6 linked regions of the Macaca fascicularis genome follow. The protein of the gene in region 1 binds, or shares a complex with, the protein of each later gene. Links are inferred from orthologs where the notes say so. Each region holds a gene or a part of one and is shown on either strand. Other genes may lie near its edges.

Region 1 (3,500 bases):
CCACCTACTTTTTAAAAATTCTTAATTCTGGCTGGGCGCAGTGGCTCACGCCTATAATCCCAGCACTTTGGGAGGCCAAGGCGTCCCAAATCACTTGAGGTCAGGAGTTCAAGACCAGCCTGGCCAAAATGGTGAAACCCCATCTTTACTAAAAATACAAAAAATTAGCCGGCCGTGGTGGTGCACGCCTATAGTCCCAGCTACTCGGGAGGCTGAGGCAGGGGAATCGCTTGAACCCAAGAGGTGGAAGTTGGAGTGAGCTGCACTCCAGCCTGGGCAACAGAGCAAGTCTGCATCTCAAAAAAGTATGTATATATATGTTCTTAATTCCATTGCAGTATTTTGAGACAGTGAGTATTCTTGTTGTAATGAAATTTCAAAATCATATTACACTATTCAGAAAGGCATAAAGTGCAGCATTGTGAATAACGGTCAGCATTGTTTTAAATCCTGCCTTGATTTTTAAAATATTTTGACCTTGATGATAAATATTAGCTGTTCTGCCCATGTAGTACCAGAAAGCTGTGTTGTAGTTTTGGAAAAATGCTAGACTAAGAAGGAAGAACCAGTTACATTGCATAAGGAAGTGTGCCATCACAGAGTAGCTGGTGACTTGTGTGACCAGCAGCTTCTGTTTGTTCGGGGTCTTACAGTTCACTGACCAAGAGTGCAGAGAAGAGCTCATTTGATCCTTGCAACAGCCCTCCCTCCCAGGTAGACAGGCCAAGTGTGATCACCTCCATTTCACAGACACAGGTGCTGGCACTCAGAGTAAGTGACTAGTTTGAGTTCTTGGGTCAATAAGTAAGAAAGCTGGAACATAGTTAATTATAGGAGAGAAAGGGTTTTTCACACGTAATACAGCAGCAGTGAAAACATAGAAGTTCTAAGTTGTGAGTGGGGTTGCACAGTAAAGGAACTTTTAGAATAGGTTAGGAGAGGTGGGCAGAACTTGGAACTAGGGAGTGATCCTTGTGAATTGGCACTGGAATCAGATCCTATGGCCTTTTTTTTTTTTTTTTTTTTTAAGACGAAGTCTCACTCTGTCACTCAGGCTGGAGTGCAGTGGCGTGATCTCAGCTCAGGCTCACTGCAAGCTCCACCTCCCGGGTTCACGCCACTCTCCTGCCTCAGCCTCCCAAGTAGCTGGGACTACAGGTGCCCGCCACCACACCTGGCTAATTTTTTTTTGTATTTTTGGTCGAGACGGGGTTTCACTGTGTTAGCCAGGATAGTCTCAATGTCCTGACCTCGTGATCCGCCTGTCTCAGCCTCCCAAAGTGCTGGGATTACAGGTGTGAGCCACCGAACCCAACCCCCATGGCTTTTAATAGATGAGCAAGGAGCAGTGTGGAGAAGGTGGATATGCAGACAGGAAGATCACTCTGGCTAGAACCAAGAGTGGCTAATAGTGGGGAGTAAAATTGCAGGTAGATATATAGCAGTGAGGGCGAGTGAGAACAATTGATAAGACTTCAGCTTAAATTTGGAGTAGTATTGCGAGGATGAAAACAAGTAGATTCTGGCCATTTGTAGTAAATTTTGAACCCATCCTGCTAACATTTTAATGTATCTTGGCTTTTTTGCGGGGAGCACAAATGGGGTCTTGCTCTATTGCTCAGTGTACTCTCAAACTCCTGGCTTCAAGTGGTCCTCCTGCCTCAGCCTCCCAAAGTGCTGGGATTACAGGCGTGAGCCACCATGTCTGACTAGTCTTAACATTTTATAGTAAACATAATCTATCTGAAAATGTCATTTAAAAGGTCATTTTGTTGCATATCTATTCACTAGTCCAGTTAGTAGTCCATTAAGAATTCGAATTACTTCTGGATTGCTAAGTATAAAACAATTTTTCCTTTTCCAGGATTATATTCCATCACAACAAGATATTCTGCTTGCCAGAAGACCCACCAAAGGCATTCATGAATATGACTTTGAAATTAAAAATGTTCCTTTCAAAATGGTTGATGTAGGTGGTCAGAGATCAGAAAGGAAACGTTGGTTTGAGTGTTTCGACAGTGTCACATCAATACTTTTCCTTGTTTCCTCAAGTGAATTTGACCAGGTGCTTATGGAAGATCGACTGACCAATCGCCTTACAGAGTCTCTGAACATTTTTGAAACAATCGTCAATAACCGGGTTTTCAGCAATGTCTCCATAATTCTGTTCTTAAACAAGACAGACTTGCTTGAGGAGAAGGTGCAAATTGTGAGCATCAAAGACTATTTCCTAGAATTTGAAGGGGATCCCCACTGCTTAAGAGACGTCCAAAAATTCCTGGTGGAATGTTTCCGGAACAAACGCCGGGACCAGCAGCAGAAGCCCTTATACCACCACTTCACCACTGCTATCAATACGGAGAACATCCGCCTTGTTTTCCGTGATGTGAAGGATACTATTCTGCATGACAACCTCAAGCAGCTTATGCTACAGTGATGTACAAAAGACTTGCTGTTTTAATATCTTTTTGTGTTTTTGATGTTTTCTGTTTGTTTTGTTTTTTAAAATAGCAGTTTACAACCAGAATTAGAACAATCTTAATTCTATGTTTAACTTCTTGAAAATCTTAGTACTTTTTCTGCGGCCTTTGGTTTGTGGCTGAAAGCTGTTGAGTGACACATCGCCAAGATTTGCTGTAATGCAGGCTTTGATCTGTTTCACCATGGCTTCTATTCAAGTCCGGTTAAAACTTCCCAGCTGACCTCAGACTAGGCATATTTCAGGCTTTAAATTATTCTACTTTTCAAACTGAATTCTCCTGCAGTGCCAAGTATCAAAGGTGTCCTTAAATACTTGTAGGGATGAGGTTAGGAATATTCAGTTCCAAAGCAAGTAAGGTATCTTCTGTCCGCCTTACACACAGCAGTGCCACTTGTTGCCTAACTCTGTGGTGACCTCCCATTTTGTAAGGGCTATTAGAAAAAAGTTTGATCTAAGAAATGGCATTCTGTAGATTCATAGAAGGTTTAGCCTTCATGTTTTAATTGCTTGTGTACACAACAGCTGTTCTGCTTTTAGATTTCTGTGTTTCTGAAGGTAATGTTCTTCGTGTTTTCAAGTTTACATAAGGTCTTTGGTCTGATGCTGATGAAGAATTCACAGGTGGTACGGGAGAGCAAAAGGCAAGCAAATGCTATTTACCGTGTTTTGGTCAAACGTAATGAGTGAAATAGCATTTGCCTTTCTCATATTTAATTATCATGTAGTTTAATGTACCATATGTGAAACATTCTGGCCATAGCAGCAACTAAAAACTGCAAGCAACTTGGTAACAGAACTCTCTAAATAAACTTAACCTGTTCCAGAATGTCATATAGTTGACTTTTAAGCCCTATCTCAGTTGGTCAGTAAAGACCAGTCCTTACTGTAGGAAATCATTGTGTATCATCACAAACATCTAGATATCTTTTGCTGTCCTGTCCAGTCCCATCAGCTCCACACTGTGGCATTTGTGGGATTGTTTTGTTTATTTGGAGCTTGCCAAGGGCAGTATTTTTCT
Region 2 (4,063 bases), on another chromosome or scaffold:
CACATGTGACATAATCATGCATGTAGAACATTCAGCTTGGCACAGTGGCTTAGGCCTATAATCCCAACATTTGGGGAGGCTGAAGTGAGAAGATCACTTGAAGATAGGAGATCAAGACCAGCCTGAGCAACATAGCAAGACCCAATCTCAACAAAACACATAAAAATGAGCCGGGCATGATGGTGCACACCTGTAGTCCTAGCTATTTGGGAAGCTGAGGTGGGAAGATCACTTGAGACCAGGAGTTTGAGGCTACAGTAGGCTAAGATTGCATCACTGTACTCCAGCCTGGGCAACAGAGTGAGCCCCTGTCTCAATTAAAAAAAAAAAAAAAGAAGAAGAAAGAAGAAAGAAGAGGAGGAGGAGGAGGAGGAGGATAAAGAAGAAAAAGAAAATCCTAAGGCAGAAGAAAAAGAAGAGGGGGAAGGCAGAGGATTGGGAGAAAAAGAAACTCCTAAGGCATTTACCAGAAAAGAACAAAAGAAGGAAAAACACTATGAATAAATGCATTATCAAGGTTACAGGATACAAGATTAATATACCAAAAAAATGCATTTCTGTATACTAGCAAAAAACAATTGGAAAATAAAACTAAAAATACAATACCATTTACAAGCATTGGAAAACAAAGTACCTAGGCACAAGTGGAAAACGTGTATGCTTAAAGTTACAAAATATTGCTGGGAGAAATTAAAGAAGATCTAAATAAATGGAGAGGGTTCAGCATAGTGGCTGAAGCCTATAATCCCAGCACTCTGGGAGGCCAAGGTGGGTGAATTGTTGGAGTCCAGGAGTTCGAGACTAGCCCGGGCAACATAGCGAAACCATGTTTCTACTAAAAAACAAAAATGCAAAAAATTAGCCAGGTGTGGTGATGTGTGCTTGTAGTCGCAGCTACTCAGGAGGCTAAGGTGGGAGAATCACCTGAGCCCAGGAGGTTGAGGCTGCAGTGAGCTGAAATCCTGCCATTGGACTCCAGCCTGGACAAACAGAGTGAGATCCTGTCTCAAAAAAATATATAAATTAAAAATAAATAAAAATAAATAAATGGATGGGTATACTATGTTCATGGATTGAAATATGTCAGTTCTCCTAATATTGATCTATGTGATCAATCCAATCAAGCATCAAGCATCATGCCCTATTGGTTTTGCTTCCTGGGTATTCTCTTGGTGTCCATCACCTCCCACCTAACCCAGGACACCACCTTAATGTCTGCAACAACCTTTTAGTTGGTCCTCTACTTCCAATTCATCCTCAAGACCAGCCAGAGAAAGATTTCAAATGTATGTATGTCAGGTCCTGCTTGAAACTGCGTAGTGGCTCCCCATTGCCCATGAGATAAGACTCAGGCTCCTTAAACAACACTCAAGGCCCCTGCTTACATCTCCAGCCTCAGCTATTGCCATATTCTCCAAGCCCACTCCCCACACTGCAGGCACAGAGAGCTTCTTTCCATTCCCTGAGGGTGCCCAGCCCCTTTCCTGCCCTTGGCTGACCCTCAGCTGGTCAAGGAATACCCCCCTGCCATTCTCACCTGTTTTTCTATGAACCCCCTGTCTGAGTCAATGGATTACCTTTGTGCAGACGGTCCTCCCTAATGGATCATGAATGCCATGGGAGCAGGGGTGAAGGACGTCACGGCCACATCCACAGCTATCAGCAGTGTGCCTGCCACTCCACACATGTGCTTAGGAGGCATCAGGATGGAGGGACAGTGGGCAGAAAGATGGTGGAAAGTGATGTGTCCACGCTTTTGATGTCCTCATAGGGCGTGGAGGAGAAGTGATGAGCCCATGTCAGCTGCAACACACAGACAGGCACGCAATGCCACAGTGCCCAATGTCACACCCATCCAGCCCCCAGCCCAAGCCTGGCTGCTCCTCCCCTGGCAGATTCATAAAGGGACTGGGTGTCCCAGGCAGCTAAGGTGGGCCAGCCTGAGCCTTGACCTGGGTGAGGGACACTGCATATGCTCCTGACGAAACCTACTAAACTTGGTGCATGTTCCCTGGGACCCCTGAGTGAGTGTTGTGGTCCCAGCACAGACCTGAGGCAGTGCTGTCTATGTGGACACTGCATGTTCCCTGGGAGCCCTAAGTGAGTCTTGTGGTCCCAGCCCAGAGCTGAGGCAGTGCTGTCTGTGTGGACACTGGCTCTGCCTGCTGGGGATTAGGGAGGAATGGCCAGGGTTTGGAGGTAGCACTAATCAGACGGCCTACAGGCTATGGTCAGAGCCCTGCAGCCATGGTCTGAGCTCCCCAGGATGCTACGGAGAGCCGAGAGCTGCTGAGAGTCCCAGGCCAGCCTGTCCTCCAAAGCCCTTGCTCCAAAGCCGAAAAGACCCTTCCCCGGGTGAAGCAGCACGTCCAGGGCTTCATGTTGGGATCCAAAGGCCCCAAATCATCCCCAGGAATAAAATGATTCTTCCATTCGTTTCAAAAGGCAGCAAAACTAGCTTAAGTATGGCAAAAATTAGGTGAAAACAAACAAAAAACAGCAAAACCAAATGAGGCCTCCCAAGGGACAGCGAGCAAGGCACGACCATGAAGAAAGCATAAGACCAGAGTTCAGGTCTGAACACCTTGGCCCCAGCCTGGCCGGCCGCATCCTGCATCCTGCCCAGCCAGCCCTGTCCCAGCCAGCCCTCTCCCCGAGTACTGCTCTCAGGGCACAGGATCTCGACACTCACCCCAGAAGCTCTGCTGCCCCCCAGGCTGGTCCAAGCCTGGAGGACTGTGAGAGAGATGGCGGAATCAGGACTGGGTAGGACACAGCTCCCGCCAACGAGTCACCAACTGCTGTGCCGGGAGCTGGAAGTGACGACAGCAAGGAACCCAGGCAGGTGGTGTGGGGCAAAGTCCACGGGAAAGGCCAGGAAGGAGGTGCTCTCACAGGACACACCCAGTCCTGCCCATCCGGATCTGCCAGGGCCACCCTTTGTCCCTTCCCGCCATGGTGGGGAGACGGTCTTCAGCCCACATGCCCCGCTCTGCAGGTCCACAGTACAGCCAGGGACCCCACAGCCCCGGACCCCATAGAAAGGCCAGGTCCTGCCTTCGAGCATTCCTGAGAGTTCTGGGTGCCCTGCCAGGGCTGGCACTGGGGAGACAGGTTGCTTTTCAGGGCAGTTCTTGTTTGCTGGGACGCAGGCCACTGGGAACTCAGCATCTGTGTAAGAGACGGGCCCTTCTGTGGATGACCCGTTTGTGTTCCCGAAATTCACATACTGAAGTCCTCATCCCCAAAGTGAGGAATGAGAAGGTGGGGACCTCTGGTAGGTGATGAGGTCATGAAGGCAGAGGTGTCACGAACGGGATGAGGGCCCATATAAAATGGGCCCCAGGGAGTTCCCTTGACCTTCCACCACGTCAGGACACAGGCAGAAGGCGCTGTCTCTGGACCAGGAAGCAGGCCCTCACCAGGGACCAGGTCTGCCAGTGCCTCGATCTTGGACGTGCAGTCTCTAGAATGGAGAGCAATGCATTACCATTGTTTATGAGCTGCCCAGGCTATGATGCTTTGTTACAGGAGCCCAAAGGAACTCAAAGATGGGCCCCGCCAAGGAACTCAGGCAGGTGCAACGCCAGAAGAGCCAGGAAAACTTAACGGGCTGAGGAAACTCTTCAGCTTTCTCTATTTTTATGTAAACCAACAGCCTTGCAGCAAAACAAGTGGTCAATAGGAGACCCAGTAAGTGCTTGGCAGACAGCCAAGAGAGGCCGGAGAGGGCAGGAGTGCTGGGCAGCGGCTCCCAGCTCCAGAGCACCCCTAGAGGCCCCTAGGTGAAACAGGCAGGGGAGCCTCACCGGGATCCAGGAGCAGGCATGCTGGTGCCGATGACAAGCCTGCTGATGGTCCAGGCAGAGCTATCGGCTCTGAGGCTGACAGGGGACTGAGAGTTTCTAGGTGGCCTCCACCCCATAAGCAGAGCTGTGCAAGGAGCCCATCCAGGCTGGCAGCAGCCACTGCAGAGTCCACCCCAGCAGATGCTGAGAGAGAAATGTCACTGGGTGGCCTGTGGCCCCTGGCCCAGAAAGCAGGAAAAGCCCCACAGCGCCCC
Region 3 (3,500 bases), on another chromosome or scaffold:
GCACGTCCTGGCTGGGAATGGAGGGACAGTAAGACAGTCAGCCTGTGGCAGCTCTGGAAAGAGAGTCAGGCAAAGAGGTGGCCAGGGCAGTCCTCAGGTGCTGCCCTCTGTGTGAAGGGCCTGGGAACCAAAGACTTGGGATGCCAAGGGTCAGGGACCTCAGACCCATGGGCCCGCAAGGGAGGGCAAGCATGGGTCCCCTTCACCATCCATGGCCCTCCCGGCCCTCCCCAGGCTACTCGAGTTGTGTCTGTGTCTGCAGGCTGGTGGCACGTCTTCCGGAAGTGCCTGCCCTTGCCCCGCACTGAGCCTGCCTGGGAACCCACCTGCCGTTGCACCTTTGCCCACGCAGCCCCCCCCGCTCTGAACTCGGTCCAAGCAGCTGCCCAAATCTAGGTTGGATCACAGGGTGGGACCCAGGACACCCCTCCGTCCTCACAGGCCCCAGGTCATGGGACCTGGTGTCACAGCGTGCGGTGCCAGTGTCACTCTCAGGCTGCATGGGAGGAACCTCCAGACAGTGTTCCGAACTACATGCAAAGGGCTCTAATCTCCGTTTCTTCCCTCCCTTCCCAGGGACTGTTCATCTTCCTCTTCCATTGTCTCCTGAATTCAGAGGTACGTCCACTCTACTTCCTAGCAGTATGAAGCTGGCTTTTCCTTTCTGAAAGGTCACAGGAGTGGGAATAGCGTTGCCCTATCAGGGTGGTGTCTGGGACTCAAATCCTGAGCCAGCTGTGTTCCTGATGACAAGTTGTGTGCCCTGGGCCTGCTGCTCAGCAACTCTTCTCTCCCTGCCTCCTTGCTAAGCGATGGACAAGCATCTTCTCTCCCTGGAGAAGTGGCGACTGCATCCTGGGGAAATGCAGGCGTGTTCCCCAAAGTCCTCCTCAAGGCCTTGGGGAAGCTGGCCTGGCTGTGAGAGGGAGGACTGCTGTCCATGGGAGCTGGGAAGGGGACTTTTGTGATGTGGCTTCCTTGGACTGGGGCAGCCAGCACAGGCTCATTCTTCTCGGTGCTGCTCTGAGCCTGGCACCTGCCATGTACTTGGCTGGGGGAAAGCAGGGGCTGCCCCAAGGACTTCTGTTCCTGTGGGAGAACTTTTCCCAAGTCAGCTTTGAGCCCCTGCCAGGCTGAGGTTGTGGGAGCTGCCTTGGGGTGGGGAATGGGCCAGGGCAGAGGGGTCACCCTGCCCGGTCTCTCTCAGTGGCGGTGTCCGTTTGCAAGGACAGGCCAAGTGGGCCGAGGAGGGCAGAGTCGCTGAGCAGGATGGTGACCGGGCAGAAGGGCTGCATGATCACAACACCCAGTGACCCCTTGCAAGGCCTGAGGTGGATCCGGGTGGCAGGAAGGCCGTGCAGCCATGGAAGTCTACCCACCCGCCCGCCACGCATTTTTATTTATTTGCTTCTCTCTCACACTCACCCCGGGACATTCACTGCTGTGTGTGAGGAGCCCAGCAGAGTCCACTCCAGACCCAGCTTCCCTGGCCTGCGGCACAACCTGGGTCTGCCACACAGAGCAGCGATGCACAGCTCAGCTGTGGAGCCACTAGCTCCGACTCTGTTATTTCCAAATCCCAACCTTCCCCGCACATCTGCTTCCAGGGTTGCACTGGCACAGACTCCTCTGGTTACGGCTGTTGCAGCCTCTGAAATTGCTTCTTGTGATCCCTTCCCTGCTTTTAAGGTGAGAGCTGCCTTCAAGCACAAAACCAAGGTCTGGTCCCTCACGAGCAGCTCCAGCCGCACAGCCAACGCGAAGCCCTTCCACTCGGACATCGTGAGTGCAGCCTCCTTAAACCGAGGGTCCCAGCCCATCCTCCATCCCCAGGCTCGGTCGTCAGCAGGATGGCGTGTGCAGGCAGCAGGATGGGATGTGCGGGCAGCAGGATGGGGTGTGCATCAGCAGGATGGGGTGTGCAGGCAGCAGGATGGGGTGTGCAGGCAGCAGAGGTGGCTTCGGGTGCCCAGCAGTCTTTGTCCCCCTCTCCTGCCTGACTCCAGCCCGCAGGCTGCACGTGCTCTGGGCTCGTGTCCCCGTCACAGTGCCCTGTGTCATGATGAAGTCACCACAGCCCTCCCCTTTGACCCTGAAGGGTCAGGGCTTCTTGTGTTCACTTAGGGATGGAAGGACTTAGAGATCAACTGACCATGAGGTGGCCCATCCCTGCTGCCCTCCAGAGCCCAGGCAGTCTGGAGCCGGCCCTGTTAGGGTTCTCACTGCGCCACTGCTTCCCACCTGCTGGAGCCTGCTCCAGTGTCCCATCCTCAGAAGTCCTTCCCCGCATATGGTGCTCAATCAAGGCACTCCCACCCAATTTTGCACTCCGCCTCCACCCACAGCTGTGTGGTTTTCCATTTGCTTAGGGACCATGTCTGCCCTGCTCCACGGGAGCTGGCTGGCTCATGCACTGCTCTAGCCCCACAGCTACAACTGTGCCAGGTGCGTGGCACGCTCCATGACTCACCATGGAATGACACCAGCATGGACAGATGCACGGGGGTGAAAGCGTGGGTGCCGGGTGGATGGGTGAGCAGAGGAGGGAGTGAGCACTCAGCACAGCATGCTTGTGGTGCCGGAAGGGAGGTCAGTGTGGAGAACTCTGCAGGTGGAGATGCCACAGTGTACACATCTTCATCTCCCCCAGGGGATGCACCTTGCCCCACCGCAGGGAGAATCCTCAGGCAGCTGTGGGCCCAGTGCTCCCCGTGCTCACTGGGCTTATGGCTCTCCCCCGGGAGCAGGCCCTTCACTGCTCATCCGTTTATGCTTTGCAGATGAATGGGGCCCGGCCAGGCACGGCCTCCACCAAGCTCAGCCCCTGGGACAAGAGCAGCCACTCTGCCCACCGCATAGACCTGTCAGCCGTGTGAGCCGGGAGGCTGCCAACCAGGCCAGGCTGCGCTCAGAACACCGCCCCCCCAAACGGAATGAAACTCCGCATCTTTGCCCGTGGGACCCTCTCCTTACCGCTGTCTGGACTTGGGTGTTATGGCCCTGAGATAGCCGTCCTCCCGTGACTCTGGCTGTCAGAGCACACTGCTGAGTCCAGCAGCCTGATACCCAGGCCAGCGTGGGCCCTCCTGCCTCACGTCCACCTGTGGGCTGAGTGACTCCCTCTGGGGACTCCCAGGACACAGTGGCCTGACGGTGATGGTGCCCTTGAGCCTCCCTTCGTCACTGAGCACCAGACCCAGCGAGGCCAGGACACTCAGGTCCCGCAGCCCCAGGAAGGGACGTTCAGCCTCTGTGCCTTGGTGGGACTTGGGGACTCAGGGCCAAAGAGGTGGTTCAGGTCCCCATGCACCCCCAGACAGTCAGGTGCAGGCAGCTGGGGGTGTGTGGGGAAGAGCATGAGGAGTCCCCAGGGTCTGAATTCACTGGTGAGTTCCCCACAGTTGGCGCCAGCCATGGTGTCTCCATAGGTGGTGCCAGCGTGGGCCAACCTGTGCTGTCATCAGTTTGGGCCCTGCCCAAGCCGAGCTCAAGCCGTGGGC
Region 4 (4,292 bases), on another chromosome or scaffold:
TGCTATGATTTTTTTAAGCATTCTATGACTTTCATAATCTATTATTAAACCGTCAGTGATTTTTATCTTTCCCCAGCAAACAGGAATACGTATTTCCCTTTTCTCTTTTACAGAAATGGGAACGTACACTAAATACAGTGAGCCCCACTTCCTTTTCTTTCCCCCCTTCTCTCGCCTGCTTTTGAACATTCCAGCAGCCTGATTTCTAAGATTGTGCAGAATTCTAAGAAACTATGGATTCACAGAGCGAAGAGAGGGGCATGTTAGTCACCACCTCCACCTGGTTCCTAAATTCTCACCACCTGGGGGTGACATGAGATATCCAGGCCTCCTCTCTACCCTTTCCCTAGTGGGCCTAGCCTCAGCCCTCCCCGCTCACACCAGCTGAGTTATTATTTGTCTAGACACAAACCAAATTATAGGCCCTGTCCCCGAGGGAACGGTGGGCTCCAGGCGGAGGGTCAGGAGACTGAAGCTGGAGTTAATCCCGGTTCCCCTCCACCTCCCTCCTTCTCTTCCCGAAACTCCACCCCTTCCACCCAAACCAACTCTTGCCCCTCTCCCTCCCCACCACCATGGTTTTGGAAATATTTTCTCTCCTCTGCTTCTAAAACCCTCTCTTCTGGATTCCAGCCATTTCTACTCACCCTGGCATCTCTCCCTCCTCATTGAGAAGACCTCTTTCCCCAAATTAATCCGGCTTAGTGGTAGAAGAAGCAGCCAGCTCTCTGGATTTGGGCTTCGGTTGAAAACTGGGGTCCCAGCCCTCCAGCCTGGCACTGACTCACTGTGGGGACTTCTGCTCTTGGGCCTCAGTTTCTCCATCTATAAAATGGGGTGGGGGGAGTTGGCCTAGGTGGCTCTGCAAACCCTTTCCAACTCTCAGCTGCCATCACTGAAATGTGCCAAGATTTCAACACTCCTCTTTTTGGATTGAAGGACTCCAGTATCCCCAGGACCTTTCATTGGAAGGATCTGGAATTTCCAGGCCTCCCCTCTGATCCTTCTTCCATCTAGGCCCTTCCATTAAAAGATATTCACGTTCAAGGTTCTTGATCATATGATTCCCAGGGTTCCGGGGGCCCCCATGGGTCTCTTATCCTCTTCAGCTGGGATTCCCCCAGAAAAGAAAACCTCCTCATCCTCACCCCAAACCTGAAGTCGAGTTCATCTACAGAGACAGATCTGGGGGTGGGTGCCCCCTTGGTGGGTTCAGGAGGAGGGGTGCTGATGATGGGCTCTGGAGGGGGCACTGGGGGGTGTGGCCCCATCTTCTCCACTTCTGCCCCAAATTCCCCAATGCACATCCAGCCCGAGTGCGCACACCCACATCCCACAACCGATGCCTCCCAGACATTCTAGGGCTGTTCCTCAGCCTAGTTTGGGAGGAGGGGTTGTCCAGTTCCCCGGGGGGAGAGTGAGGCGGAAGCAGGAAAGAGTTAACGGTGACCCAGCCAAATCCTGGAAGAGAGGAAGTAGGCGAGGAAGTTCACCCCCCAGCCAGGAATTCCTGAAATTGGCGGGCGGGGTGGGTGCGACTTCAGGGGCAGTGGGGTGGCTCCGGGAAGAGGGCGCTGGGGTCAGGGTGTCACTTTGAGTCCTCCTGCCCCAGGTCACAAGCCTCCTGCCCTCTACTCCCAAGCAGCTTCCCAGCCCAGAGGAAAGTTCCGGGATGCGGAGGATTTGGAAGGAGAGAAGACAGAGCAGAAGGTGCCAAAACAGGGTTATAAGAGACGGAGAGACAGAGACAGGGCAATAGAGAGAGACGGAGAGACATGGAGGGAGAGAGCAAAGAGATATACAGAGACAGGGAGAGATGGAGATAGAGGCAGACACATCCCCAGAGGTCCCACAACAGATGGGGGAGAGGCAGAGGCAGGGACAGAGGAAGGTGGGACCCAGAAACAGAGAGACAGAGACAGACGGAGACAGACGGAGACCGGAGAGGCAGAGATCAAGAAACTGACAGAGACATCCAGAGACACAGAAAGAAAGACAGGTCCAGAGGCAGAGGGACCACAGACACAGAGACACAGGCGGGAGTTGGAGACAGACGCAGAGCCAGGGAGAGCAACAGAGGGGGCGGGCGCCGAGACGCCGCGGGAGACTGAGGCAGCCCCAGAAGGGGCGGGGAGGAGCGGTCCCGCCAAGAGCAGGGCAACCTAGTGAGACCTCGCAGCATCGCGGGGGCCGGGGAGGGCCCGGCACTCACCTGCGCGCGGCGACTGGACGGGGCGGGCGGCGGCACCTCTCTCGGCTGCGTCCGGGTCTCCGGTCTGAATGACGGCGCGGGGACCCAGCGGATGCCCCCGCGGGGCAGAACAGCGGCTACTCCTCCCGGCCCCCGGGCCTGAGCCGTCAGCTGAGGCCCCGCCCCGGCCAGGCCCGCCCCCATTAACCCCACCACTGCCGCTGCCCCTTAACCCCTTTCAGACTTCACCCCATTCAACACCTCCAGCCCCGGGTGAGGCTCATCTGCTGCTGGAACACCCACTAGTCCTTCCAAGTCCCCAGCTGGAAGGTCCCCTCTCTCGAACCACACACCCCCAACTTTATCAGGCCCTCAGCTATGGGAAGAGGAGGCCCCCGCTACTGACCTTCCCTGAGTTGAGCCATTTCCTCCCGTAGAGACCCCAGGCCTCAGTCATTCATCTTCTGGCCGTTAACCTTCTGCATCTTCCGCCGGTAGGAGGGGGAGAACAAAGGGTTCTGTTAGGTCCCCAACTCCAAAGTCAGGGCCACCCCTAGAAGGAGCTCTGGGGTTGCACTTCCAGCCTGCCTCTTGGTCAGACCTTAGGCTAGTGACATCTCCGTGCCCCAGTTTCCTCTTTGAAACAAGGTGGTCACTCATGGTGCCTGCTTGCTTCCTTCCTTCTTTGCTTTGCTTTGCTTTGCTTTTTTCTTTCTTTTCTTTCTTTTGAGAGGGAGTCATGCTCTGTTGCCCAGACTGGAGTGCAGTGGCACAATCTTGTCTCACTGCAATCTCCACCTCCCAGGTTCAAGCAATTCTCCTGCCTTGGCCTCCCAAGTAGCTGGGATTACAGGTATGCACCACCATGCCCGGCTAATTTTTGTATTTTTAATAGAGATGGGGTTTCACCATGTTGGCCAGGCTGGTCTCGAACTCCTAAGCTCAAGCTATCTGCCCACCTCAGCCTCCAAAAAGTGTTGGGATTACAGGTGTGAGCCACCGTGCCCGACGTCTTTTTTTCTTTTGCCCAGTCTGGAATGCAATGACACTATCATGGTTCCCTGCAGCCGCAACCTTCCAGGCTCAAGTGATCCTCCTACCTCAGCCTCCTGAGTTGCTGGGACCACAGGCATGCGCCACCACAGCTGGCCAATTTTTAAACAATTTTTTTCTACAGACAGGGGTCTCACTATGTCTCGGCTGGTCTCAAACTCCTGGGCTCAAGCCATCCTCCTGCTTTGGCCTCCCAAAGTGCTGGGATTATAAGACTGAGCCACCGAGGCCGGTCATCATGGTCCTTTTCTCTTGGGGGTTTCATTTCATTGTGTCAGTGCTATCAAGGCTGTAAAATACGCCAACCAAACCTCAACACTCCCCATCTTTCTCTGCCTTACTTTCCCCCTACCCTTTGGGGAAGGTGACATTCTCCGTTTCCCTTATTTTTTTCTAGTTGTCTGCCTTCCTACCAGGAGGAGTGTCATTTTTGTGTCTGGCTTGTTTACTGTTGCATGTCTGTTGCCTACAAGACAGCTGGGCAGGTGATAGGTGTGAAATACATTGTTTTCGGGCTGGGCGCGGTGGCTCACGCCTGTAATCCCAGCACTTTGGGAGGCCAAGGCAGGCAAATCACGAGGTCAGGAGATCGAGACCATCCTGGCTAACACAGTGAAACCCCGTCTCTACTAAAAATACAAAAAAATTAGCTGGGCGTGGTGGCGGGCACCTGTAGTCCCAGCTACTCCGGAGGCCGAGGCAGGAGAATGGCATAAACCCGGGAGGTGGAGCTTGCAGTGAGCTGAAATCGCGCCGCTGCACTCCAGCCTGGGCAACAGAGCAAGACTCCATCTCAAAGAAAAAAAAGAAAAAAATACACTGTTTTCAGGGAGTGAACAAATGAATGATAAGTGCTCCTAAAACATTAGCTTATTTTTATTTTTGACTTTACATCTTTCATAAACTAATCGTGAGAATTCATTATTGGTTAAGGGACCTCAGATAGACGTGGCATACAACACTAAAAAATGATAGCTGTCAGGTTTGATTTTTTTTTTTTTTTTTTGAGACAGAGTCTTGCTGTGCCCAGGCTGGAGTGCAAGGACAT
Region 5 (3,500 bases), on another chromosome or scaffold:
GTCACCAGCTCTGGAGACACCACATGGTAAGTACCTGACCCGGGGCAGGCAGTGCGTTGAGAACCCCACACCCCTGGCACATTCCTCTGTGAACATGGAGGAAATAAGGTTCTTGACATAATATTAGGCCATCTTTAATTTAAGTGGCCTTAAGATTTTAAACACATAGTAGCAATGTGTGAATTCATTATACTTTTTTTTTTTTTTGAGACGGAGTTCTGCTCTTGTTACCCAGGCTGGAGTACAATGGTGCAATCTTGGCTCTGTGACCTCCACCTGCCAGGTTCAAATGATTCTCCTGCCTCATCCTCCCAAGTAGCTGGGATTACAGGTGCCTGCCACCATGCCTGACTAATTTTTGTATTTTTAGTAGACCAGGTTTTACCACGTTGGCCAGGCTGGTCCTGACTCCTGACCTCAGGTGACCTGCCCACCTCGGCCTCCCATTACAGGCGTGAGCCACCATGCCCAGCCTCATTATACTCTCATTATACTTTTAATAAATTTACAAAGTTTAATTTTCAGCAGCTAAGAACTAAAATACAAACTTTTTTTTGTTTGTTTGTTTGAGACAGAATCTTGCTCTGTCTCCAGGCTGGAGTGCAGTGGCGTGATCTCGGCTCATTGCAACCTCTGCCTCCCGGGTTCACGCTATTCTCCTGCCTCAGCCTTCCGAGTAGCTGGGACTATAGGCGCCCGCCACCACGTCCGGTTAATTTTTGTATTTTCAGTAGAGACAGGATTTCACCATGTTGGCCAGGATGGTCTTGATCTCTTGACCTCGTGATCTGCCCACCTCAGCCTCCCAAAGTGCTGGGATTACAGGAGTGAGCCACCACACCTGGCCAATAAAGATATTTTAACTACAATCAGGCTGAAAGTACTGCTCTTCTGTTTTTTTTCCCATCTGTATGTCTGTACCTCCTTAGGTGATGCTAGGTGGGAGCAGGGTGGGTTTTGATTGTCCCTTTCTGATAGCACCGTGTCACTGTGAACAATGAGCACATACTAAAACTAACAGACGTCACAATTCAAGCGATTCCATCAGACTTCATTTTTAGTGTTTTCACCTTACAGGTGAACAGAAACCCACTTAAAACACTAGAAGTTTTTCATTTGTGGCATCAAAGTACTAAATTAAATATCCAGCTAGTTATTTTATGAGTCATTTTAGACTTCAGCTGGCCATGTGGGTTTTTCTGGTCTTCTGAGGCATGATTTGGTGGCAGGAGCTGTGTCCAGGCCAGGGCACAGACCTCTAGTCACGCAGTTGGTAGGGTTCACCGAGACATGGGTCCTTAACCAACTTATTAGCAAAGCATCTGTGGTATTATAAGGTGTCTCGTTGTATAAATTTCATAGATTTACAAAAGATTTGTCACCTAGATTGTCAATCTTGAGAAGACTTTATTTATTAGAAGATATTTTTAAAGCGCTTCTGTTCATTAATCATTTTTTTCAGACTCTCTTACGTATCTTGCTTCCCTTCTGCAGTCAGTCCCTCAGGCCCTAGAGAGGAGACTCCCTGTGGGGTGTCTGTTGAGATCGGCTGGTTGGATTTGCATTGCCAGGCCCAGCCAGACTTTCCTCTGAGGCTGACAGGAACGGACAGTGCTCTCTGGTGTTGCCTTCCGTGCGTCAAGGCACAGGAGAATAGCACATTTTTAGGCGTGTGGCCTTCAGAGCTGTCCTTACACCTAAGCCAGGCTTCTGCTCTGTGCAGGGCTCTGTCAGCGTCTCACCTTTTGACAGTTCGTTAAGCAGAAACACAATAGAATACCAGGTATGGCCGGGCGCGGTGGCTCACCTCTGTAATCCCAGCACTTTGGGAGGCTGAGGTGGTTGGATCACCTGAGGTCGGGAATTCGAGACCAACCTGACCAACATGGAGAAACCCCGCCTCTACTAAAAATATTAAAAAAAAATTAGCCAGGCATGGGTGGCACATGCCTGTAATCCCAGCTACTTGGGAGGCTGAGGCAGGAGAATCGCTTGAACCCGGGAAGCGGAGGTTGCAGTGAGCCAAGATCGCGCCATTGCACTCCAGCCTGGGCAACAAGAGTGAAACTCACTGTCAAAAAAAAAAAAAAGAATACCAGGTGTGATCACTGAGAACTCAGCTGCTCTCCTGTTTGTGATTCCAGGAAAGGGCAGGGGGACCTCAGAATTGCTGCGAGCCATTTGTTTACCTGCCATTGGCCTTCTCCTGCCTGCCTTTTCTAAGATCCTGTGGAGGGGAGGCCAGGGGAGGGCACAGAGGGAGCAGCCACAGGTAGAGTCGCATCCCCCTCCGCTATCCAGGGCCTCCCCATGGCTTCCTGCCACCCCCTCCATGCCCATCCATGACTGAAGAGTGGGACACAGCCTCAGTGTTGCTGCTTGAAAAGTGCCCCTAGCTCCCTCTTTGCTGGCGTTTGAGTTGAGGTAGTGATCCCGTCATTCTGAAACCCAGGCCGTGTGCTCATCTCTGTATAATTTTGCTTACTTTGCTTTGTTTCCCTTCCAAAGTTGTATTACATTTAAATTTGTCTTTAAACAATTTACGTTTTTAAAGTAACAGTGCAGAGGCTCACTGTGGCCCTGGGTGGTTTGAAGGACAGACTGTCATATGACTAGCCACCCGAGAAGTTGAGGCTGATGTCCCCTTGTCATTCGCTCCTGCTCCAGTGCCCTGTGGGACATCGAGACCGGCCAGCAGACGACCACGTTTACCGGACACACTGGAGATGTCATGAGCCTTTCTCTTGCTCCTGATACCAGACTGTTTGTCTCTGGTGCTTGTGATGCTTCAGCCAAACTCTGGGATGTGCGAGAAGGCATGTGCCGGCAGACCTTCACCGGCCACGAGTCTGACATCAATGCCATTTGCGTGAGTCTGGGTGAAGGTGTGGGGTCGGGGCCTCTGCTGTCTCTGCTAGCCGTTCAGATTGCTAAATTTTAAACTTTTCTGGATTAGATGTTCTCCTTTCTGATCCTTATACAACCTCGTCTGCAGATGGGGATACAGAAAACTCCCCGTGGGAAACGTCTCTATGTTGACCACTTGTCTTATAGATATTCACAGGGTGTCTGTTATGTGCCAGTCCCCGTTCCCACCTGTACAGCTGAGCAGCGGTTGGGATCCTGGAGGGGAGAGACAGTAAGGTAACTCAGGCCACCAGTTACCGGTTACAGAGCCTTACTGGTCAGGGGCACAGCTAACCAGGAAACCTGCTCTCCTCTTTAGCACGCAGATGGCTAGGCAGTGTTTCCAGCCCCTGGCCTTGTGAGGAGATGTGGAAGGATGTATCTGTTGGTTGGATAGAGCTCTGCTGCAGTCCTGACCACTGCCCTGCTCAGCCCACTTCGCTCCTTCCTCCATGAGATTAGCCCTGATGTCTGGCAGCTACAGCAGCATGCACACCTGTCAGTGATGACTCCTTTCTCACTATTCCTTTGAAATAAATTCTACTCTTTGGGGACAGTAATCACAGTGTCCAAGATCACAGTGTTTATGTGCT
Region 6 (4,269 bases), on another chromosome or scaffold:
CCAGCCTGGGAGACAAAGGGACACTCTGTCTCAAACAAAAAAATTTGTTGAGGGAATGAGGGGCTGTCCTTTCCTGTTGTCAAACTGCTGGTTACACACACACACACACACACGTACACAAACATCATTCGATGAAGGTGTAGTGTGCATAATTTCTACAGGTAGGCACACAGAAACGCCCAGGAATGAGTGAAAATTGGAAAACTGGATAGAAGACTGGGCCAGATGCCAGAAGGCAGGCACAAACTGGGCCTTGCTGGTGCCCCCTGCCAGAGGGGACAGTGATCTACAGGAGCAGGAAAGACTGTGGAGTGTCCCCAGTCCCCCAGGGGAGAGAGGGCAGCACCTGAATTCTGGAGTTCTATCAAGGGAGAGACTGGTCAGGCTCAGTGGCTCACACCTGTCATTCCAGCACTTTGGGAGGCCGAGGCAGGAGGATTGCTTGAATGCAACAGTTCAAGACCAGCCTGAGCAACATAGCGAGACCCCCATCTCTACAAAAAACTGCAAAAAATTAGCCAGGTGTGATGGCGTACCTGTAGTCCCAGCTACTCTGGAGGCTGAGGTAGGAGGTTGAGGCTCCCGTGAGCTATGATTGAGCCACTGCACTATGGCCTGGGTGACAGAGTGAGACCCTGTCTCAAAAAAGGAAAAAAGGCCGGGCGTGGTGGCTCAAGCCTGTAATCCCAGCACTTTGGGAGGCCGAGATGGGTGGATCACAAGGTCAGGAGATTGAGACCATCCTGGCTAACACGGTGAAACCCCATCTCTACTAAAAAATACAAAAACTAGCCGGGCGAGGTGACGGGCGCCTGTAGTCCCAGCTACTTGGGAGGCTGAGGCAGGAGAATGGCGTGAACCCGGGAGGCGGAGCTTGCAGTGAGCTGAGATCCGGCCCCACTGCACTCCAGCCTGGGCGACAGAGCAAGACTCCGTCTCAAAAAAAAAAAAAAAAAAAAAAAAAAAAAGGGAGAGACCAATTTTGTCTTTGGGACAGGACATCGCACTTAGTAGGAATTTCATTATTTGTTGGGTGGGCATACAATAGGCACTTAATGCCTATTTGCAGCGTTGACACCTAGTAGGTACTTCCAAGGCTCTTTGTTGAGTAAATAAAGGTGACCTCGTGTTTTCTTCCAAGTCCAGGGTCCCGGGGTGAGCCCAGAGGTAACCTGGAGTTGAAGACAGCTGTTTCAGGTTGAGGCCACCTGGCCAAGAGTACTGTGACGTCACTAGGCTGCGTGACGTTTCCCGCTGGCCGGTTCTCACGGGTGGGGGCTGGGAGGGGCAAAGCGAGAGGTGGGGGGGCGGACAAAGGGGCCCTCCGTGCAGCTCCTGTCTGCCCCCGCGTGCGTCCCGGCCAGCCGGCAGGCCACATCTGGAATTCATTGCAGCCGCCGCCGGAAAGGGGAGGAGAGGAGGGCGGGGCGAGCGGGGGGCAGAGGCGGTGGCGGCTCACCCCGCCCCCCCACTGTCCCTCGTCCCAGCCCCGGGACGTAGCCGAGCCCGGCGGGCAACCCCAGCCCCAGCCGCGGCCGCCCTGGGGACGCAGACGCCAAGGCCCCTCCGGCCAGGGCCGGGAGCCGGGCCGGCCTAGCCAGGTGAGCGCGCGTAAAGACAAGGAAGCAGAAAGGGCGGGCCCTGGTCCCCTGAGGTCTCGGGATCCGAGCTAGGGGGCCCCGATCGGGAGGCTGGGGCGCGCACGCGCCGCCTGGGTTCCTGCTGCACAGAGCGGGTGGTCACCGTGCGCCCTCTCCAAGAGTCCGGGCGGCCCCCACTGCTTCGGCCGCGAACCCCCAGACTGTGCTCCCCGCCTTTCTCAGCGGCAGGAAGTTGGCGCCGGGGAGAAGGCGGAATCCGAGCGCTTTCGACTGGAGTCTTTGGGAGGCTGGACGCTGTGCCCGGGGACCAGGGTCTTGGGGAGTGTGTTTGGGGGAGGGGTGCAGCACCCCTCCTGGCTGACTCCTGCTGAGCGAGGGCAAAAGGATGTGCGCGCCTTGGAGCCTCCAAGCCAAGGGGCGGCACCCACGGGGAGGGCGGTCGCATGTCGGGCTGTCTGCCTCGGTTTCCCCAAGTTGTTTGCTCCTCCGGTTCCCCCGAGGGGGCGTGGCTTTGTTTTGGAAGGAAAGAAAAAGTGACTGCGTGGCTTAGGCGCCTCCTCTTTCAACTCCGGCTCAGGGATGGGTCGTGGGTGAAGGCGCGCGTGGCGCGGACCCCGCGTGGCCCCTGGCCGGGCTGAGCGTCGGAACTCGCCCCCTTCTCCGGCACGGGTTGACTCACCCGGGGATTTCCACCCCCTCTGTCTCTGTCCTTGTCAGATGCTCCGGGCGCCACGCGCTGAGCCCACGGTCCCCCGCGTGGGGCGACTCGGGCAGGCGCGGAACTCGCGGTGCAGCTGCTGCTACGATCTGGTCCCCCACCCCCAGTCTTTCCAGAATCTCGAGGCGGGACCCCTGGCGGGACGGAGAGGAGTCCTTCCAGTCCCGCTTGGAGACGTTGGGGTGGTCTCGTAGCGGTAGGGGGGAGAGGAGGCGTGGCTCCAGCGCAAGCGAGTGTGGATACCGCGCATTCCTAGGCCAGATAAGGAAGCCGAGAGTGCGGGTCAGCGCGGGGGCGGGTCCTGCTGCCATCTCCATGGAGACACGCTGGGCTTTGCCTGGTTGATGGTGGGCGGTGGGGGCGCTGCCCGGGGACCAGAGGTGTCTCCAGGCTCCTTCGTTGTTGTTTGGGTCTGGGCTGAAATTAGGAGATTCCACCCTTGGGAACCCACTAGGGTCTCCTTTGTTCGTTGGTTCATTCATTCATTCATTCATTTGCCCATTCCACACGTTTTCTGAGTGTTTTCTTTGTGCCAGGCATCCCTGTAGGGGCTGATAGCTGACTTGCTCCCTGGCCTTACCCATTGACTGTCTAGGTGGAAGCCAGACAGAAAAGGAGAAATATCATGATAGTTTCCCATAGTGGCAAGCGCTGCGCAGATAATAAAACAATATTCTGTGATTAGAACAGGCTTGGAGACAGCTGCTATTGTAGACTAGAGGTCAGGGGAGTCCCCTCTGAGGAAATGACCTTTAAATAGAAACCAGAAAGATGGAGAGACAGTCATTCGAAGATTTGGGGAAAGGCCAGACGCGGTGGCTCACGCCTGTAATCCCAGCAGTTTCGGAGGCTTTGGCAGGTGAATCACCTGAAGTCAGAAGTTCCAGACCAGCCTGGCCAACATGGTGAAACCCCATCTCTATTAAAAATACAAAAATTAGCTGGGTGTGGTGGTGGGTGCCTATAACGCCAGCTACTCAGGAGGCTGAGGCAGAAGGATCGCTTGAACTCAGGAGGCAGAGGTTGCGGTGAGCTGAGATCACACCACTGCACTCCAATCTGGGCAGCAGATTGAGTGTCTGTCTCAAAAAAAATTGAGGGAAAGTGTGCCCCAAAAAGAACAGCAGGGGCAAAGGCTTGCAGGTAGGGGTGGGGGTAGCATGGAGGAGGCTTAGTGTGGTTGGAGTGGAATGGCCCTGGGGGAGAATGGGAGGAAGCTTTGTGGGCAGGGGCCATGCTACTTGGGCTATAGGGAGCCATGGGAGGATTTGGAGTTGGGGAGTGACATGGAGTTATGAGTTTAAAAGCTCCCCCTGGCTGCTTGGTAGAGAATGGCAGGGTAGGGGGTCCTGACAACCACAGGGAAACCAAAAAGTAGGGTGGCTACCACGGGGGCTCCATGGGTGACCAGGGGGAACTGTAACCACAGGGCCTGCCTCTCTGGAACTGGGAGTGGGTGGAGAGGAGCTTAGAAGCCACTGAGGCTTCCTCCATCCTTCCCCTCTCCTAATCTCCAGCCAAACAGTCGTCTGAGTCTATCTTCCCTTCCTTCCAAACCCCATCACTTGTCCCTCCTGTTCTATTTCAGGCCTGGACATTCTATGTGAGCCCAGTGGCCTCTTTCTGAGCTTCTGAGAGGGAGTCAGGAAGGACTTGGTGAAGGTGACTAGGAGACAGGCTCTGTGTCCTTCTCAAAACCTGGTAACCTAACACAGGGAGGGGACACAGGCTAGGCCACAGTCCACCTAGGGGGTGACTCTTCCGCCAGCTCCAACCTCAGTGCCCTGCTTCCTCTTTCTGGGACGTGTCAACCACCTAAGTGCTTGCCTCAGTAAAGTCCTAGTGGTTAAAGTGAGGCTTGGATAAAATATGGGCCTCAGTTTCCCCTTCTCTAGGAGAGCTGCCTCTCCCTCTGTGAATGCCTTAACCTCCCCGGGCTGCAGAAGGTGA

The links.
Region 2: the proteins of GNA13 (region 1) and GPR35 are in contact, whole or in part, in a cryo-EM structure (PDB 8H8J), measured with the Homo sapiens proteins. The link is inferred for Macaca fascicularis from reciprocal best matches to the Homo sapiens genes GNA13 and GPR35. Residues at the interface, in NP_006563.2 of Homo sapiens: Lys46, Arg47, Leu48, Val49, Lys214, Asn215, Val216, Phe218, Arg331, Gln337, Gln338, Lys340, Pro341, Leu342, Tyr343, Phe359, Arg360, Asp361, Lys363, Asp364, Ile366, Leu367, His368, Asn370, Leu371, Lys372, Gln373, Leu374, Met375, Leu376; in NP_005292.2 of Homo sapiens: Phe45, Gln51, Thr53, Thr55, Met59, Asp113, Arg114, Ala117, Val118, Pro121, Leu122, Arg123, Arg125, Arg128, Ala197, Leu198, Arg201, Pro202, Thr204, Asp205, Gly207, Gln208, Ala211, Ala215, Met218, Val219, Ala280, Lys281, Glu282.
Region 3: the proteins of GNA13 (region 1) and ADGRD1 are in contact, whole or in part, in a cryo-EM structure (PDB 9V0U), measured with the Homo sapiens proteins. The link is inferred for Macaca fascicularis from reciprocal best matches to the Homo sapiens genes GNA13 and ADGRD1. Residues at the interface, in NP_006563.2 of Homo sapiens: Val49, Val216, Phe218, Phe359, Val362, Lys363, Asp364, Ile366, Leu367, His368, Asn370, Leu371, Gln373, Leu374, Met375; in NP_942122.2 of Homo sapiens: Asn599, Arg601, Leu657, Met660, Val661, Ile662, Val664, Phe665, Ser667, Val737, Ile738, Ile741, Ala761, Val764, Asn810.
Region 4: the proteins of GNA13 (region 1) and GPR4 are in contact, whole or in part, in a cryo-EM structure (PDB 9JHP), measured with the Homo sapiens proteins. The link is inferred for Macaca fascicularis from reciprocal best matches to the Homo sapiens genes GNA13 and GPR4. Residues at the interface, in NP_006563.2 of Homo sapiens: Arg47, Pro341, Tyr343, Phe359, Lys363, Asp364, Ile366, Leu367, His368, Asn370, Leu371, Lys372, Gln373, Leu374, Met375, Leu376, Gln377; in NP_005273.1 of Homo sapiens: Gln45, Asn50, Arg115, Ala118, Val119, Ala120, Pro122, Leu123, Ala126, Ile204, Val208, Ser211, Val212, Ser213, Thr214, Glu218, Lys221, Ile222, Leu225, Asn290, Glu291, Gly292, Ala293.
Region 5: the proteins of GNA13 (region 1) and GNB1 are in contact, whole or in part, in a cryo-EM structure (PDB 8H8J), measured with the Homo sapiens proteins. The link is inferred for Macaca fascicularis from reciprocal best matches to the Homo sapiens genes GNA13 and GNB1. Residues at the interface, in NP_006563.2 of Homo sapiens: Ser31, Ile34, Asp35, Leu38, Glu41, Lys42, Val45, Lys50, Gly205, Ile206, Glu208, Lys219, Val221, Lys231, Arg232, Trp233, Phe234, Glu235, Cys236, Phe237, Asp238, Ser239, Val240, Arg279; in NP_001269468.1 of Homo sapiens: Gly53, Leu55, Lys57, Tyr59, Gln75, Asp76, Lys78, Ile80, Thr87, Asn88, Lys89, Val90, His91, Ala92, Ser98, Trp99, Met101, Leu117, Asp118, Asn119, Tyr145, Asp186, Met188, Asp228, Arg314, Trp332.
Region 6: the proteins of GNA13 (region 1) and S1PR2 are in contact, whole or in part, in a cryo-EM structure (PDB 7T6B), measured with the Homo sapiens proteins. The link is inferred for Macaca fascicularis from reciprocal best matches to the Homo sapiens genes GNA13 and S1PR2. Residues at the interface, in NP_006563.2 of Homo sapiens: Arg47, Val216, Phe359, Lys363, Asp364, Ile366, Leu367, His368, Asp369, Asn370, Leu371, Gln373, Leu374, Met375, Leu376, Gln377; in NP_004221.3 of Homo sapiens: Ser66, Met68, Tyr69, Leu72, Arg130, Ala133, Ile134, Lys136, Val137, Lys138, Leu139, Tyr140, Tyr209, Ile212, Val216, Ser219, Gln227, Thr228, Leu231, Leu232, Val235, Tyr288.

Annotation. Positions count from the first base shown.
Region 1 is NC_088390.1:71,456,477-71,459,976, reverse strand, and holds part of GNA13 (guanine nucleotide-binding protein subunit alpha-13), read left to right. Parts: intron 1-1,864; coding exon 1,865-2,437; 3' UTR 2,438-3,500. UniProt on the Homo sapiens protein: Guanine nucleotide-binding proteins (G proteins) are involved as modulators or transducers in various transmembrane signaling systems.
Region 2 is NC_088386.1:136,480,189-136,484,251, reverse strand, and holds the start of GPR35 (G-protein coupled receptor 35), read right to left. Parts: upstream 2,801-4,063; 5' UTR 2,693-2,800; intron 1,804-2,692; 5' UTR 1,578-1,803; intron 1-1,577. UniProt on the Homo sapiens protein: G-protein coupled receptor that binds to several ligands including the tryptophan metabolite kynurenic acid (KYNA), lysophosphatidic acid (LPA) or 5-hydroxyindoleacetic acid (5-HIAA) with high affinity, leading to rapid and transient activation of numerous intracellular signaling pathways.
Region 3 is NC_088385.1:138,254,999-138,258,498, forward strand, and holds part of ADGRD1 (adhesion G-protein coupled receptor D1), read left to right. Parts: intron 1-576; coding exon 577-618; intron 619-1,689; coding exon 1,690-1,782; intron 1,783-2,780; coding exon 2,781-3,004; 3' UTR 3,005-3,500. UniProt on the Homo sapiens protein: Adhesion G-protein coupled receptor (aGPCR) for androgen hormone 5alpha-dihydrotestosterone (5alpha-DHT), also named 17beta-hydroxy-5alpha-androstan-3-one, the most potent hormone among androgens. Also activated by methenolone drug.
Region 4 is NC_088393.1:53,667,667-53,671,958, forward strand, and holds the start of GPR4 (G-protein coupled receptor 4), read right to left. Parts: upstream 2,801-4,292; 5' UTR 2,598-2,800; intron 2,279-2,597; exon of another isoform or gene 2,213-2,278; intron 826-2,212; exon of another isoform or gene 648-825; intron 1-647. UniProt on the Homo sapiens protein: Proton-sensing G-protein coupled receptor activated by extracellular pH, which is required to monitor pH changes and generate adaptive reactions. Activated by an optimal pH of 6.8-7.2.
Region 5 is NC_088375.1:233,006,564-233,010,063, forward strand, and holds part of GNB1 (guanine nucleotide-binding protein G(I)/G(S)/G(T) subunit beta-1), read left to right. Parts: coding exon 1-26; intron 27-2,667; coding exon 2,668-2,869; intron 2,870-3,500. UniProt on the Homo sapiens protein: Guanine nucleotide-binding proteins (G proteins) are involved as a modulator or transducer in various transmembrane signaling systems.
Region 6 is NC_088393.1:10,782,064-10,786,332, reverse strand, and holds the start of S1PR2 (sphingosine 1-phosphate receptor 2), read left to right. Parts: upstream 1-1,469; 5' UTR 1,470-1,601; intron 1,602-4,269. UniProt on the Homo sapiens protein: Receptor for the lysosphingolipid sphingosine 1-phosphate (S1P). S1P is a bioactive lysophospholipid that elicits diverse physiological effects on most types of cells and tissues.